Astyanax mexicanus: one gene and its partner. The protein of the gene in region 1 interacts with the protein of each later gene in a pairwise test. Links are inferred from orthologs where the notes say so. Each region holds a gene or a part of one and is shown in the gene's direction. Other genes may lie near its edges.

The links.
Region 2: the proteins of ewsr1a (region 1) and mvk interact in a two-hybrid assay, tested with the Homo sapiens proteins (2 studies listed by BioGRID and IntAct). The two-hybrid records come from large-scale screens. The link is inferred for Astyanax mexicanus from reciprocal best matches to the Homo sapiens genes EWSR1 and MVK.

Annotation. Positions count from the first base shown.
Region 1 is NC_064427.1:20,602,764-20,611,924, reverse strand, and holds the start of ewsr1a (EWS RNA-binding protein 1a), read left to right. Parts: upstream 1-5,632; 5' UTR 5,633-5,680; coding exon 5,681-5,696; intron 5,697-7,669; coding exon 7,670-7,706; intron 7,707-7,838; coding exon 7,839-7,890; intron 7,891-8,673; coding exon 8,674-8,812; intron 8,813-9,161. Other genes in the region: atp6v0a2a (V-type proton ATPase 116 kDa subunit a 2), read left to right, coding at 278-488, 1,569-1,694, 2,253-2,363, 2,700-2,817, 3,412-3,583, 3,776-3,878. UniProt on the Homo sapiens protein: Binds to ssRNA containing the consensus sequence 5'-AGGUAA-3'. Might normally function as a transcriptional repressor. EWS-fusion-proteins (EFPS) may play a role in the tumorigenic process.
Region 2 is NC_064429.1:9,746,814-9,755,483, reverse strand, and holds the start of mvk (mevalonate kinase), read left to right. Parts: upstream 1-5,344; 5' UTR 5,345-5,512; intron 5,513-5,658; 5' UTR 5,659-5,673; coding exon 5,674-5,751; intron 5,752-6,238; coding exon 6,239-6,386; intron 6,387-7,346; coding exon 7,347-7,494; intron 7,495-7,971; coding exon 7,972-8,136; intron 8,137-8,670. Other genes in the region: mmab (corrinoid adenosyltransferase), read right to left, coding at 441-538, 1,420-1,492, 1,600-1,832, 2,598-2,662, 3,194-3,297. UniProt on the Homo sapiens protein: Catalyzes the phosphorylation of mevalonate to mevalonate 5-phosphate, a key step in isoprenoid and cholesterol biosynthesis.

The DNA of each region.
Region 1 (9,161 bases):
GTATGTGTGTGTATGACATGTGTCTGTGTACCTGTGTATATGTATGTATGTATGTTAAAAAAAATGTATTTATCGTCCAGCACTAAATAGCAGTAATTTGCATCTGTTTAAAATATTATGACTTCACTACAATTGTGAACCCTAGCTATGTGTAACATGTTCTTCTGTGGTGTAAGAAGCTTGTTGGCCACATTGCACTGCTTGTAGCTACAGTGTAAACCCGCTGTAATCTCACAGTTCTTGTGTGTTTGTGCTGTGGTGTGTTTTTTATCTGCAGGCACTTCAGGCAGAAGTTTAAACTGTACCTGCTGTTCCTGCCGGAGCTGCTCTTCCTGCTCTGTCTCTTCGGTTATCTGGTCTTTATGATCTTCTATAAATGGCTGGCCTTTTCTGTCCAGGATTCGAGGACAGCCCCCAGTATCCTCATCCACTTCATCAGCATGTTCCTCATGCAGGGCAATGCCACCACACCACTGTATCCTGGACAGGTGTGTGTGTGTGTGTGTGTGTAGTATGTGTCTGATTGTTTATGTTAGCACAGCTTCATCTGTGTGTATGTGTGTGTGTGCGTTTATATATATGATAATTTGTGGCCTGATACTAATTTTAAAACAGCATTGTGTGAGAATTAGTGATTCTGCATGATTCTGAAGCAGATAGTTTAAGGTACAGCTGATACTGATACTGAGAGACCTATCTTACACCCTGTGTGAGGTGTGAACAGTCTATTTACACACCTACCTTGCACCTGCATTGTTTAAATAGCAATAGACTTAATACGACCTAGACAGACGTCAAAAGTCAGATGTTAGTTGCTATCTTGGTGCTCTGCATGTGAACACCCTGCACAAGCCCAACTTTTTCATCAACAATAAACAGAACACTAAATAAAATAACATTACTGTTCCCGTAAATGAGCTGCTGGCACACCTTTACAGTGTGAACGAGCAGATCAGTTTCCTCTGCTGAGAAGCTTTGAACACGTCCAGGTAGATACGCTGTTAAAATAGCAATCCGCCAGAGTCAGAGCTCACCTGGCTCTTAAAGGGAATAGCAAGACATGACATTCTGATTGGTTTATTTTAAGTTACCTATGATTAATTAAGAGAATTAGTTCATTCCTTTTGCATGTTTTGAGCCACCCAAGGTGTACTTTTCCTGTCATTACGATAGCAAAGACACACTGACATGCCCTAAATCAAGCTGCACTGTTACAGTGATGACTCAACTGTAGATCGCTAAAACATGGTCCTGAAATTTCTACAAACATCTTGAGATGTTTTTCTCTCTCCACTCATCCATCAAGCTCTCAGTAGGGTTTAATGCAGGTAATTGTGCTGTCATTGCATAATGCATTGGTTGCAAATCCAGTTATTTAAGTGCTTGTTTTTATCTAAGTAAGAAACAGACGGCTTGTATCATCCAACACATCTGCTCAACATCATTATGTGAGATCTGAAGATGGTGTAGTGTGGTATGATGCAATATAACTGCAACATGGTGTTTAGTGGTGGAGTGTGCATGTCTATGCTGTGTTTAATAGTGTGTTGTGTGTGTGTGTGTTACAGATGGGTCTGCAGGTGTTTCTGGTGGCCATGGCTCTGCTGTGTGTTCCTGTGCTCCTGCTGGGGAAACCGCTTTACCTCTACTGGCTTCATCACGGCAGCAAAAGCCTGGGAGTCCACAGGGTGTGTGTACGTGCGTGTTGACTACTGTGGGATGCTGCATGTAGAGACTGCATGAGTGTGTTCCAGTTCAGGGACAGGATTCTTTAAAGGATGTGGTGGATGGTGGCGCAGCTTTCGAAGGCTGTGTAGGCCATACAGGTCTACTCTACTCTATATGATTTTATCTGCTGTTTTCCTCGTCCAGTGCTCACTAATTGTGGTAAAAAACAATAATTCTACCCATTGGGTTGTACTGACTCCACCATACAGGCAGTCAGCTGTGTGTATGTGTTTTTTGTGCACCACCAATATAACATATTGTTTACTGCAGAATGAGGTAGGCATGATAAAAGCTTTTGTTTTTTTGTTTTTTTTAAGATAAAAGTGAATAATTCCACATGTTTGCACTACAGCCACAAAACATTTTTTCATTTATTTGTAATATTAAACATATTGATGTAAGATATTAGCTATGTAGGATAAAAGCTAATCTTGACCCATTGTTTTGATCTAATTTGCAAATAGTACCCTTGCTAGCTTTGTTTTTTTGTTTTTTTTCACAGTGTCTTATTTTTTTCTGTACAGGGCTATGAGCGAGTTCGCCGTTTAAGTGAGGACGATCTGTCCCCGTCTATCGTCCACGATGAAGAGGAAGGGCTGGATGATCACCCGGGTCGAGACTGCAGCCCAAAAGAGGTCCGATTCAAACTATCAAACTACAAACACTACCTGAACCTGATACACAGATATCTTTATTAAGAATTACTTAAATTACTATGTGGTTTCTCACACTCGTGTCCAAATATTTGTGGACAGCCCTCTAATGAATGCAGTTAGCTAATTTACAGCTAAGTTGCACCCATTGCAAACATCTAGTAAAACACCTTCTCCTGGACAGTTCAGACAGTTACTTTAACAAAAGCAGGATAAACTCTTTTTTCATTCCCTTAATTTTAAAATAAACCATGAAAAAGCTGGTGTCCCATGTTGTGTATTTGTTATGTGAGTTAATTTGTGTACTTTTGTTTGCAGTTTGATTTTGGGGATGTTTTCCTACATCAGGCCATTCACACTATAGAGTTCTGCCTGGGCTGCATCTCCAACACGGCATCGTACCTTCGCCTGTGGGCCCTCAGCCTGGCTCATGCTCGTTAGTACACACACACACACACACACATACACACTCATTGAGCATATTGAGCTACAAGTTTGCATTCCCTCTGTCTTGTCATAATCACTGTGTGTGAACTGGTCAAAGATGTGATCCGAGAGCTCGTCCACAATATCTAATATCTAGCAGGTTTAATATCTGGACTAGCCAGTGACTCCAGTAGTGTGAAAAGTGCTTTGACTGGACATTAATGCAGCGACTAGCTACAGCCAATGAGAATGCAGAATGAGAGTAATAAAAAAGGCAAGGTTGAGGTTGAGGTTGTCTATTGCCAAGAAAGCAATACGCCAGAAATTTACCTGAACTTTCCTTAATTTCCACACCACCACGCCCATCAGTGTAGATATATTCAAAAGCACTGTTGCTATTTAAACGAGGAAGGTGGAAGGCGTGAAAATAGACTGTTGGTAGGGTGTAAGATAGCAATAAGCACTGCAACGGTATCGCCTATAGACTTCTTATCTGTCTTTCTCTTGTGTATTACTACAATTCACATACTGTATTTGAATGCTTTTGTTATATAAAAATAAAATAAATGTTTTGTTTGTGTGTGCGTGTGCATGTGTATAACAGAGCTGTCGGAGGTGCTGTGGGCGATGGTCCTGCGTGTTGCTCTGAGGATTAACTCCAGGTTGGGGGTGCTGGTTCTCGCCCCTGTTTTCAGTCTCTTCGCCATCCTCACCGTCTCCATCCTGCTGATCATGGAGGGGCTCTCTGCCTTCCTGCACGCCCTGCGCCTACACTGGTCAGCACACACACTCAATATTACACTCACATGCCACAGACACTTCCAGCTAGATGCTGTTAGTCACCATAATTTTTACTCACTAAATTAAAGTGGGTGGGAGTATTAGCCTTCCTATGGTGTATGCTGCAGTTTTAGGGATTTTTTCTCTTATTTACTGTATAATCATTCTTTATTTCTCTCTGTCTCCAGGGTGGAGTTTCAGAACAAGTTCTACAGTGGAACAGGTGTAAAATTCGCCCCCTTCGACTTCTCCCTGCTTCCCTCCGTCTTCGAGCAGGATGGATTACTGTGAGCAGCGAGGAAATTCTGAGACCTGAGCTAATCCACCCTGGCTTACCATGACTTACACTCCTCCTGTTTCCTCACCGCAGCTCTGCAGCACTAACCACAGCAACCGGACGTTTCATCGCCTTTCCTTTTATACCATTTCAACATTCCAGCCCATCCCCCACTTTTTTATTAAAGCAGGATCAATCGAGACTGACTGCCTTAGATAAACACATTCATATCAGCGATATCTGCCACTGACTATCATCACCGGCTCCACCAAACTCAACATCACTCAACATCTGCCATATAACATCTTTAAATAAGTTTGTCAGTGCAGCCCTGCTGTTATATTTATATTTTATTAGAGATACGACCTCGACTTGGGAAACCCTCTTATTTATTCACAGACATTTCCATTTTCATATCGGATTTCAAAAGTGCCATAAGTATTTTTCCAGATACAGTTTTGTATGCTACTCTGAAATGGGAATATTGAATTTATTGAGCCGTCTCTATCCCGTGGATCTGAAGCACGCACACGCACACATTATGAAGTAAAAAAAAATACTTGTGATGTTTCAGGTAAACTTCGCAAGTAAAAGAAAAAAATAGCCATCATTTTCATACTAGATAGAATTTTCATTGAAATTTTCATTGAGTACAGTATTAAAGCATCATTTGCAAAAAGAGAGATTTCTGGTGGCTTGTCGTCTTTCTTATTTGTAGCTTTAAGTTCTGTAAGTTGTGTAAGAGGTGGGCAGAGCCTACATGAGCATCAATGATAAACCTGGGTGCTTATCGGTACATTAGGGACATTTTCAGTACATTAGGTGCTGAACACTTCATTCTGGAACACCAAACAAGACTTGCCTGATGTTCTAGAGATGTTCTGACTCAGACATTAATACAGGTTATTCTACGATAATTGTATATATCATTTGAGAGTGTTCAAAACCAACATATTTATTCAACAAAACTTGATTTAAATAATTTATCTGCTTTTCATTTGGATCTAAACTTCTAAACTGTAGCATGTATGATTGGACGCACCTTTGAATATGTTCTGCATTGTAGTTTAACATTTTCTCAGACAGCTTTATAAAGTATAGTCACCTAGAATGGCTTTAAGTTAACAGCTGTGCTGAACTCATCAAGAATTAATTGCCCTCTTAATGTGTTTGAGAAGAATTGTAGTTGGTATACAGTGATTTTGTTTCAACTATTGGGGTTATGTAAAGTAAGTAAAGCAAAAAATACTTAACTTTTTCAGAAATGAAGGTTAGTCAATCTGAAAAATTTCAAGAACTTTGAAAATATCCTTACGTGCAGTCACAAAAACCATTTAAAAAATATGATGAAACTGGCACTTATCAGGACCAGTACCCAGATAAGAGCCCAGCTAAATGTTTCACTTTTAGGTTCACTACATGACTCCTTATGCTTCGCTTCATAGTCTAGATTAATTCAGTATTCATTTACAATGTATGAAAAATAAATAAATAAAAACATATACAACCTTACTGTATAACAACAACATCAACTCTAAGAACTGGTCCATTTTTTACATAATATACAATATACAGTCCAAACTGTCACAGTCTGAGCTTAAATACTTATCTTAAACCTTGTTCAGAACTCTAAGTATAAATGCTGACACTTAATTTGGGTTATAGTAGAGCGTAGCGCGATTTTAAACCATTTGTAAAACTTTTAAAAATGATTTTATATAAATCGCAGCTGAATGGATGCGCCTTTGGTGCGAAGGTATCGTGCGCATGCGCAGTTCTCGCCTGTGGACTCCGGGTGAAGAAAATAGAACACGAAATGGCGTCCGCTGCAGGTAACGGTTACAATAATGCAAGAAAAACGATTATTTATAATGAAACGTAGACTATTATCATCAGATATTGGTTGAAGAATATATAAGCATATTGTATGTGATGTTTGTATCTGTATAATGTTGTTAAATCGATTATAATTAGGCTTATTTGGCTGGTTTATGAACGTGAGCATTCTACCGTTAGCTGGCTATTCAGCTATTTGAGCTAAGCGTTACCGGTAGATTGAGCTTTTTAACGCTTACATAGACATTGTCGGTCAGTATAGCTTATTTAGCTAGCTGTATTCGTGGGTGTAAAACGTTGTTTAGACATTGTGCAGTAAGCTATTTTATGTTCGCTAGCTTGTAAATTCAGTTAAACGTGATTAGAATGACTGGCTAACCTAGTTAGCTAACTAGCTAGCTCTCTAGCCCATTATTCTAAGGCGGTGGGCGTAACTAGTTAGCTAGCATTTTTGCATTTCTGACTCAAAAAAGAGAATTTAAACGCTTAAAAATCGCATTGAAATATTTTTTAGCTTGTCCTTATTATATAATATCGAAATGATCTGTGGAAAATTAGATAAATAGGTTATCTAGGTTTTTAACTAGTTATTTTTTACCACAAAACATCAGTAGGGTATAGAAGCCCATTCCCGCCGGCTAAAATAAAAAAATAAAATAAAATCCAGCACATTTTTTTGTGATATAAACAGCTTCCTTATTATTTTGAGATACTTGTTCATTATTTTGAGATACTGTTTCGTTATTTTGAGGTACTAGTATAACTTACTGTACAGAGACATAAACAGGTAAGATAAATACTAAAAAGAATGATAGAGCAGTATTACTCAATAATAGTAAGAAAATAAAATATTTTTTGTAAAAAAAAAAACACAGCACAATATCAAGCTATTGCTTCATTTTTATTTATTTTCATTTAAAAAACATTATTTATTTAAAACATTAAATAAATGTTTTTATGAATATTAAGCACCCGCCTTTTAACTGTACACGCAGCTTTTATATTAAACACATTGTCTAATCATAACCTACTTGCAAGTTTGTATTTAAGGTAAAGTTTAAAATGATGAAAATCACTGCCACATAAAAGCGCAAATGTCCATCTACTAAGATTCCCTCTGTAGCTTATATATGTAAAGATGTACAATCAGAATTACCCCCATTTTGAAAATCACATTATAACAGTAATTAATTACTGTAAACCAACAGTAAGGCATTTTGATCATCAGCCTGTTTTGAATTAACTTGCTAGTTTCTTTTTTTATTCGTTTAGTTCTGTCTTGTATATGTTTGGCTAGTAAGGATACAACATTCAGGATTAAAGAACCTTTAACTAAAGTGCCCCTTCTGAACTGAAGAAACAGATTATTTAGTTGGGAGAACTATTTGTTAAAGGAAGGGATTAGCTCATTTGTTGGAGGACTAAACTTCACAGTATTGGAACAAATTAACCTTGGTGTACTGTTTCTGTGATATGTAAAAAATTAGAGTAATGTGTATAACTTGTAGCATTAACTGTATTTAATTTTATTTTAATTATTTATCAAATTGTTTTTTTTATTGATTGACACATTAGGATACAATTGTGTATTCTCTTAAGTAAGGCTGAAATAATGCAGAATCTTTTTGCCTTAGGTGGGCACAATTAATATGAATTTTAACAGTATTTTTTTAATAAGTAGTTTAAATTCTGTCTATAAAATAAGCGCATCATGTCAAAAGTGGCTCTGCTTCTTCAGCTGATGAGGGAGTTCTTCTAGGAACTAGGTAATTATGAATTTCTCATGTGTATTCTCAGGAGTGTTATAACACCTCTGGTGTATGCAATAATTGTTTTGGGATGCACAATAATTAATAATAGCCATAAAAAACAGTCAGAAGGGCTGGTAGGTTTTCGTTTTATTTCTTCTAGGTTGTATGTATGGTATAAACATAATTTTTTACACTGACTGTGTTTTTTATTACCACAGATTATAACAGTTACGGGCAGGCCGGAGGCCAGCAAGGGTAAGAATACTGCTTTTAAGTATAGAAAATATTAATTAATTAATATAAATTAATATTTATATATAATTGTTTCTGAATATATATATATAATGGTTATTTTGCTTGTTAATGTTAGTGTATTTTTTTTTCCAGGTACAGCTCCTATGCTGCCCAGCCCTCTCAGGCCTACGGACAGGGTGCCCAGGTAACACACTCAGATAATTTATTCCTATTTTAAAGGATCAGTCAGTATGGCTACATGAGTCCACTTTCCAAACACCTGATTAAGTTTCCTGCACTAGCCACACAGTGGCAAGTGACAACAAGTCTTACTCTGTAAAGATGTACGTTTCAGTGTCCAAAATGTCTCTGTCTACTACACTATTGGAGGTGTTAAATTACTCAGCTTTGGTTAGCAACCTTACTGAAGCTCAGTGATTACCTGTTCAACAGAAAAATAGCCAGCTCACCCGTTTCCATGGCTGTAGCACACTGTTTGCATGCTGATGTGTTCTATACCTGGTAACCCTGAGTGTGGAAATGGTACTAGGGGAATGGATGCACTACATATTTGAACACAGTTCACAGTTCAAATATTGCAGCTGAATCTTATGCTCTGCTGGGAAGAGGTGTCCGTGCTTAAACTCATGTTTCCTTAATATCTGATGATGCATCCTGATCATGTAATAAAGAACTACAGAAAATTTAATCCGTAATGGGCCTTTAAAGCCTCTGGTTATAAGCAAGTTAGTGTTAAATACTCCTGACATTAAAAACAGTAAAAGAATGTATTTTAAATCTATTTTTTCCCCAAAAAACACACAGAAAATTATGTTATATAAAAAAGTATATAACTGTGTCGGCTGAGTTTTGTATCTTTAAAAAAAAATGTCCTAAATGTTCTATGTTCTTAATATTAATGTGCACTGAGTTTTATCTAGAGTCTTGGGAATGTGAATAAGCTTATGATGCGCTTCTGTTTCTCCAGCAATCATACGGACAGCAGCAGGGCTATGGCTCATACACCCAACCTGCTGATTCAGCCTACCCTCAAACTGGCAGCTCATCTGGGAGTTACGGTCAGCAGGCTTATGGGTCGTCATATGGGCAGCAGCCACCAGCCAGCAGTAAGTCATTCATCATGGATTTAAACTGTTATACAGATTTGACGCTCCAGTGTTAAAAAGCAAGTTTTTAATTAAGTTGATGTCCTGTACTGATCTAAAGTTGTAATTAGTTGTAATGTAGAATCTAATGGTAACATTTAAAAAAATATTTTTCATACTAATGAGTAATTTAGGAATTTGTTAAAGTACATATTCTTTGTGTTAGACTAGATTCTGTACTGGCATTTTGTATATGTATATATTTCAAAAATGAATGAAAACATTTTTTTTCTATTAATAAAAACTAAATAATTATGGATGCACTGAATATTTGGCAACGGAAATTCGGCCAAAAAATGGCAAAACAAAA
Region 2 (8,670 bases), on another chromosome or scaffold:
TCTTTCAGTATCATTAGATCAGTACTGTGTTTGGGACACTAAGAGTAATACCACTGCATTGTAACTGTGATAATCTGTAACCTTTTCATACTGTATTAAACAATCAGTATAAATTAGACTAGGGGAATGGCAGTGAGCAGATTCAGAGGCTACAACCCACACAGATTAGCGTGACATACTGCAAAGTTCAAATAAGAAAATACTAGATGAAGCTCTGCTGACAATAGCTGGCAGAGCTTGATGAAACATCCTGATCATGTTATGAGTTACGACAGTTCTAAACTATATTTACACATCAGTTAGCCCTTTCTTAGTTATATAACAACTATATCTGTGATTTGAAGTTGATTGAACTAAAAAGAACTACGAAGCAGAATGCATAATTTCTCTGACAGTGTAATGATCACCACAGTAAACAGGCACTGGTGGAACAGATTTACCGGCAGTATGAAGTTAGTAAGCGGGGGAAGCTCTGCTGTGTAGGAGTCTATCCAGCTCTCCAGCTCCAACACCGGCTGACTGCTGAACTTAGTCCTTTCTGATTTAAAAAGTACAGACAGCACACACACACACACACACACACACAGAATTAGCTGGATGTTTAATTATAAGGTTCTATTCCACCTTAAATTGAAGGAGAACTCTGGTGTGAAATTGACTTTGGGTGTAGTACTAACTAATAAAGAGTACTAAACGTTGTCAATAGCCCACCTTCGCTCTCCTACAGCTTTCTGAGATCCAGTTATTTTGTGCTTTTGGTCCAGCACTCTGTACAACGGCCGTATCGGGGCATATTTTGCCCAGATAATGACTTTTTACACTGTTATCCATCTTAAAGTAGCTCCACACCTCACTGGTAGAATCCAGAGAGCCCTGACATTTAAAACGAGGCATTAATAACTTAAAACGTGTACGAGAAGCTTATTAAACACCACTGTTTACAACCCATAATGTGAGCTTCAGCTCTGAGCGCCGCCATCACTGTACTGATAATGGCATAGACATCCTGCAGGTTATGTGGAGTCTATGTATACATATCTTATGTTATTATCAGCACAGTGATGGCGGCTCTCAGAGCTGAAGCTAGCATTCTACCAAGGAGGTGTGGAGCTACTTTAGGCCTGGATAACGGTGTAAAAAGTGATTTATTGGGGCAAAATATGCCTCGATGCGGCCATTGTACAGAGTGCTGGACAAAAAGCACAAAATTACTGGATCTCGGAAAGCTTTATCATGTTTTACTACAACAAAAGTCTATTTAACACCAGAGTTCTCCTTTAATGTAACAGCTCCACCATTTAAGGTGGAATGGAAAATTAAAACAGAGATTATCTCAGAGACTAAAAAGCAGGCTGAACTTCTTCTGCTTTCTCCTTCTATCACACTCTAGTTAGCCCAGCTCAAACAGAGGACACGTACTAATGTGGCTGTCTCTGGCTGAAGATCGTGGAGTGGCGATGTTCGAGCCCACGTCCTGCAGAACACACTGGATCTGTATGAAGAAACAGATAAACCACACTCAGACTGTCCTTACAATTATTAAAATACTTCAGATATAATAATAATAATAATAATAATAATAATAATAATGACACACACCTTATCCAGCTGATCTGTGAAGGAATGTCCTTTCTCCAGGCAGAACTCTCTGGCCAGCCTAAAAACAAGAACAGGAAAAACAGTAAGCAAAAAATTATCCAGAACCGACCAACGCTCTGGTCTAGAACTGATCACCCACCCTACAGCTGAAGAGAGCTCATCTGTTGTTCCCAAGGCTTCAAAAATATGGTCCTCCTTGGGCCTCCTCTCTCCTGTGAAAGTGCTGGAAAACCCTACGAAGAAAAAGTACGAATTTTCAGATCTGTAAAATCAAGATTCATTACAAAACTCAATCCTTTACACGCTATTTCTAACGCCAAAACCACAATATGTATATTTATTATTTCAGCTCTGAGAAAAAATTAAGAAAAGAGAGCACTTCAGTTTCTCGGGTTTTGCTATTTATAGGTTTACGTTTGATGAACATTGTTGTTTTATTCTATAAACTATGGATATCATTTCTCCCAAATTCCAAATAAAAATATTGTCATTTAGAGCAAAAAAGATGCAGAGCTTTCAGACCTCAAATAATGCAAAGAAAAAAACTAGTTCATATTCATAAAGTTTTAAGAGTTCAGAAATCAATATTTGGTGGAATTACCCTGGTGGTTTTTAATCACAGTTTTCATGCATCTTGGCATCATGTTCTCCTCCTCCACCAGTCTTACACACTGCTTTTGGATAACTTTATGCTGCTTTACTCCTGGTGCAAAAAATCAAGCAGTTCAGTTTGGTGGTTTGATGGCTTGTGATCATCCATCTTCCTCTTGATTATATTCTAGAGGTTTTTAGTTTGGTAAAATCAAAGAAAATCATTTTTAAGTGCTCTCTTATTATTTTTTTCCAGAGCTGTATGTGGTGGGCCTTTCTGTGATCTGTAGCATGGGAAAGCTAGCTAGTGTAGGGGTCTGTAGCTGCTTAGCTGATGTAACAGTATTACAAGTTAGTGTTCTCCTCCAAGCGTGTTGTGTTCACGTCAGTTTGAGAATTCTCATTACCTTTATCTCCAGTTTTGGTGTATATCTTGGGAACTGGTCCATCTCCATCAGACTTTGTGGCATACCTGTTTCAGAAAGATGGAAAAACACTGATGGTTAGATGGTCAGATTAATAAACAATAAACACCAGTATGCTGTATGGTTAATGAATTGTATTTATATATTCAGAGTGGGGTTTGGTGCGAAGCATAAAAGTTTCATTCCAATTCATCCTCTCAGTCTCAGGCTTCAAACACCTAAATTCAAAGTCTTTAATTGATATTAAAGACTTTGAATAGTTAAACTGTAGGTTACAGGATTTATATATACTGCATAAAAACACTATAACATGCATTAATTCACTTATTTGTATTTTTTATTCTCCATCTCAGTCAGCTATTTAGAGCTTTAAATCATTAACAGACTCACTGTAGCTCCTCAGAACCTCATTTAACCTTCTAACGGGGTAAAAATAAAAATATCAGAGCTCAAAAATCATTAAATCAGGTAACAGAGAACCTCACAACCAGATAAACACAAGCACAGTCCAGATTACAGGCATTAACAGCCTGTATAATCAGTTAATAATCCACAGCCGGCTGGTTATCTGTATTTACCTCCGTCCAGCTCCACACAGCGGCTGTAGGGACCACGCACACGCCGGCCGGAGTACTACTACACCCCGCAGCTGCTGCACACAGCGCCCCGCCGCCGCGGCCATCACCGACCCCTCTATTACACAACGCCTTTCCCCTGTTTACAACGCGTGAAGATTGGTCTGCTTCGCTACCCGTACCCCCGTCTCAGAGTTCATGCGTGCGATCAGAGAGCGTATAGAGAGGAGACTGACCACTTCACAGTGATTCTCCTCTGGCTGGGTTTGACCACCAGAGGGCGCTGCTGAGTTTAAAATGAATGCGTTCCTATGAAGCAAAACTGAGCAAAAAAATAATAATTTCCTCAATTCAGAATAATATTAAAGGTTTTAATAATGTAGACATATTTTCTTAAGATGTTAAACTCACTCAAAATCAAACGTTCTCAGGCTGTGCATTCAGCATAAATTTACCAGGGTTGCCATGTCCGTTAAAAAGCATCTTGCCCAAAGCCTGTCTGAAACATGCCTTAACCCCTTTCAGTTTTTTAATCTGCACCTGTCAAAATTTAATGAATAAAAATCATAACCCCCCACCCAAAAAAAAAATCCTAAACTTAATTTTAAAATACAGAATGCAGAATTTGGGTTTGATTCCTGTTACTGATCTACAATTATTAAGGGAAGTAGAAGATGGACAGGCAGTTACTTCAAGTGTCCTGTAGGAGATTACATAATAAAATAAAATAATAAAATAATTTATTTTACGGCAGAGAAAAAAGGGTTTTGTATTATCTACACATAAATCTGTTAAAACGAGACCCAAAATCTACTGTAAGGTTGTTACAGGTGTTTGAAAAGAACATGATAAAAATAGCAATAAAAGTACTAATAGAACTTCTTTTTAGTCTACTTCACTTGTCTTACAGCCTCTTTTAATCTTGCTTTGTTTTTATTTTTTAAAGTATAATATATACAGTCCAAGTCTAAAGTTTGGACATACGTTCTTATTTACATTTGTTCTTTATAATTTTTATTATTTACTACGTAAGTAATTATTGTTAAAGACTTGCAATTAGGTAGTAAACAGAAAAAGAGTTTGTTTTCAAAAAAAACCCTGATATAAACTTACCTAGCCCAGGATAGACAGACAGACAGAGTAAAGAAAAGTATCTAGAACTCTTAGATAGATAGATAGATAGATAGATAGATAGATAGATAGATAGATAGATAGATAGATAGATAGATAGATAGATAGATAGATAGATAGACACTTTAATTCCCCAAGAACTGTGAACTTTAAGAACTTTACGCACTCATCCTCCTTACCCGCCTTAAGCAATATACCATATTTGCAAAAATGTTATACGGGTTCTATTTATACTGTCATTCCATCTCAATCACCATCAATATTGCACTATTGTCTTTCGTCTTACGTATGCCCTTGTTGTATTGTACATATAGTGCCTCCCATTCTTTTATAATATACATCTTATTTCACAACCCACCACTACTGCACTTTGTTTTCTGTCTCATGTATGTCTATGTGTTCCTGCTGTATTGTACACATGGTGTCTCCCATTCTCTTTTATTATATCTATTATCTGTACCTGCTGTAAAATTTGGGAAGGAAAGTAATGTAATTTCAAATATCTGTATGTCCTGTACATATGCAGTATTGACAATAAAACTACTTGACTTGATAGATAGATAGGCAGATAGAGCCTAGACTATCAGCAATGCTAGAGTGCTAAAGTTTACTGTAAAATAATGAAAGCTACAGGTATTTTTTCTTTTATTTATTATGAAAATACTTTATTATACTGTCTGTAATTAAATGAATGTCCTGATCAAGTAGTTAATTATTTTTTAAAAATTTTTTCTCGAGGTTTTAGCGTTTAGCTCCATTCAAACACATTCATTTTGGTCTTACTCGCGGGCTCCCTCTAGCGGTGTTCAGTAATTTGCTGTTATAACGGAGGCGACAGGGAGTGGGCAGTCTCGCTATAAACCAGCTCTGGTTCCATCACCCGACCCTCAGCAGGAGGCGGAGACGCGCGATCTGATTGGACGATCTGCGGTCAGTGCACTGCGCTCTGTGTTGTGATTGGACGATCTGCGGTCAATGCACTGCGGTCCGCGCTCTGATTGGTCCGTTGGGTCAGTTGTGGTTCTACGTCACAGGCGTGCTGGCTTAGAGAGTTTGCTGAGCGAGATGAGGAGCAGAGTGAAGGATTTTAGTCAGTTTTACTCCGTTTTCTGGGCTAAATTTGTGTTTTTAGGCTTTTAATCTCATTATTTTTGTGTTATTAATTTATATAAAGTTTGTGTGCAGTTTGTGGTAAGTGTCAGTGAGTTATATGCCTGTATTTATCTGTATAACACACATCTCAGCCACACTAATACACGTGTTTACATGCCTGCAGAGTGTTTTTAAATGTGTTTTGATTTATATCAGTAATAAATGTCGCTTTTTTTGGGTTGTAGATATTAATATTGGAGATGCAGGTGAAGCAGTGCTTTGTTTCAGCTCCAGGAAAGTCCATCCTGCATGGAGAGCACGCAGTGGTTCATGGGAAGGTGAGTGAGAGTCTTTAAAGCAGCAGTGCTTACGATTTATCCTTTAAATTGAGTGTATTAATGTTTTTAAATGTGTTAAAATGGCAAAAAATAATATAATATAATAAATAAAAAAAAACGAGACGAGACCACTTCAAAATGATCAGTTTCTCTGATTTGACTATTTATAGGTTTATGTTTAAGTAAAATATTCATTGTTTTTTATTCTAAAATCTACGAACAACATATATTCCAAATTCCAAGTAAAAATATTGTCATTTAGAGCATTTATTTACAGAAAATGAGAAATGTCTCAAATAAAAAAAAGATGCAGAGCTTTCAGACCTCAAATAATGCAAAGAAAACAAGTTCAAATTAATTTAAAAACTACAATATTAATGTTTTAAGAGTTCAGACTGTCACTGTTGTGAATAGTCACATCAGAATCATCATATTAACAAATATAAAGATAAAGATAAAGTTATTGATCTCTGCTGTGTGTAAACAGGTGGCTCTGGCTGTGAGCTTGAATCTGCGGACGTACCTGCGTCTGCTCTCCACCACGTCCGGAGAAGTGACCATCAACCTCCCCAACATCGACACCTTCCTGACGTGGGACGTTACAGAACTGCAGCCCTTACTGTCTGATTTAACAGGTGAGGATGAGCTGCGTTTACCTCAGGCCTGTTTAAAACTAGAGCTGCAACGATTAGTCGATATAATCGACAGTATCGATTATAAAAAAAAAAAAAGTTTATTGTTAACTAATCATTTATATGTAGTACTACATAAAGTACTGAGGACAGAAACACAATGAAAGAAGGGTAATAGGTCGGGCTGCTTTAGTAACATTGTTTTTGAAACCAATATGTCACTTTGAATTTGATTCTGAGACCCAAATGATACTTTTTTTTTTTTTTACAAATGATAGATTTTTCTTAATTGTTTTTTTAATGTGACAAAAAAATAACAAAAAAGGCAATATTTATTTTAACAATACAGAACATATTTATGTAACAGCCGACATGAGTAATCTAGTCCTCATACTGTCGTTATGAGACACTATTCGTGGATCTTGTTGGAATGAATACAATGAGCATTTGTGTGTTTATGGCACTTTATATTATTATTATATAACATTTAATATCAATTATACATATTTTCTCCTAAGCATATTGCTAAATGCAGTTCAGGATTTAAAAGTTAAAAAAAAAAAAAAAAACAGTATTAGATTGTGCTCTCAACGTTTGGCATGTTTGTGTGTTTCATGGAAAGTATAAAAAATAAACACCACATTTTTAAACTTTTTGTCATTGTCAAAATTCATGGTAATGAATTTTGATACCCAACCCTTTTAATGGGCTCACTCACATAGTCTTCAATCAACTAAATATCAGCACTTTCCATGTTTAAAAATCAATGTTCTGGAGATCTGAACAGCATTTAAATCCCATGTTCAGCTGTTTCTATTGTTTAAAAGGGATGGAGAAAGCTAGAAACAGGAACTCAGGGAATAGCAGAAATAATCGATGACTAATCTGAAAATAATTATTAGTCGCAGCCCTATTGAAACCAAGTGTCCCATGATTTACAGTGATTTTGTTTTTCTGCTGTAGTTGACAGCAGCGTTGATAATGATCTGGATCTGAACCTGGTGAAGAAGCTGAGGGAGTTCACGGGCATCGCTGAAGGATCCACCGACACCAGGAGCATGGCAGTGCTAGCTTTCCTCTACATCTACCTCAGTGTGTTCTCAGACGCAGAGTAAGATCTCGCACACTCTTCAGTCTGCATTACTTTCTACAACACTAATTAAAAATAGTCAGGATGCTGTGTAAAATATGAATAAAACAGAATGCATTGATTTAAAAAAAAAAAACATAGACATAGAATTTATTCACAATAGAACACTTAAATAGGGGTGGGAAATTCTAGGTCACCGTGCGATTTGATTTGATTACAGTTTGATTAGTTTTATGTGATTATTGAGCATTTTGATGCATCTTTTTCTTCTATACAGGATTTCCTTTTCCTCGATGCATGAGTACTTGATAGTTTTAAAGTAAAGTATCTGTAATGATCCATAATGAATCCTGATATTTAATAGGCTCTTTTACACAATTTCTATTTACTTTAAAGCAAAATTATTTTAATTAATCAAAAGATTCTTGCAAAATCTAAGATTAAGTTTGTAGAATAATTTGTGTGGTGTGTCTGTGTCTGTGTGGTGTGTGTGGTCAGCGTTTTGCCCAGTCTGAGTGTGTGTGTGTGGTCAGAGCTGCCCACAGGTGCAGGGTTGGGCTCCAGCGCTGCGTTCAGTGTGTGTCTCTCTGCAGCTCTGCTTTCAGCCGGAGAACAAATCTCCACCCCCCTCAGCTCCCAGCAGCAGCAGCAGAACACGGCCAGGTATCACTGCACTACACCGCAGACAATCACTGAAGATTCATACTGGATTAACATCACTTCACAATTATTATTGTTAGATTTTAAAATCTACACACTTTGGATTCATACTGGATTAAAATATCTCCACAATTAACACTGGAGGACCATAAAAACTATAATGCAGATTTATAGCGGAATTAAATCACTAAACATGTGTTAATCACAGACTGTAAAACAACAGACACTGCAAATTCATACATTACATTACATTACATTACATTTTGTCCAAAGCGACTTACAATAGTCAAGTACAATGTAAAATAAGTTTAAAGGTAAAACATCTTTGGATAGGGATAAAAGGAGGTCAAAGGGAAATAATGGGATAGAGGAGTGAAGGAGGGGAAGAAGGAAATGAGGTTAGAAGTAGTTAGTGTGTTAGAGGTGTTAAGAGAGTAAGTGCTCTTTGAAGAGTTGTGTCTTCAGGAGTTTCTTAAAGATAGCGAGAGATTCTCCTGATCTGGTAGTAGAAGGTAGTTAGTTAGAGGTGTTAGGAGA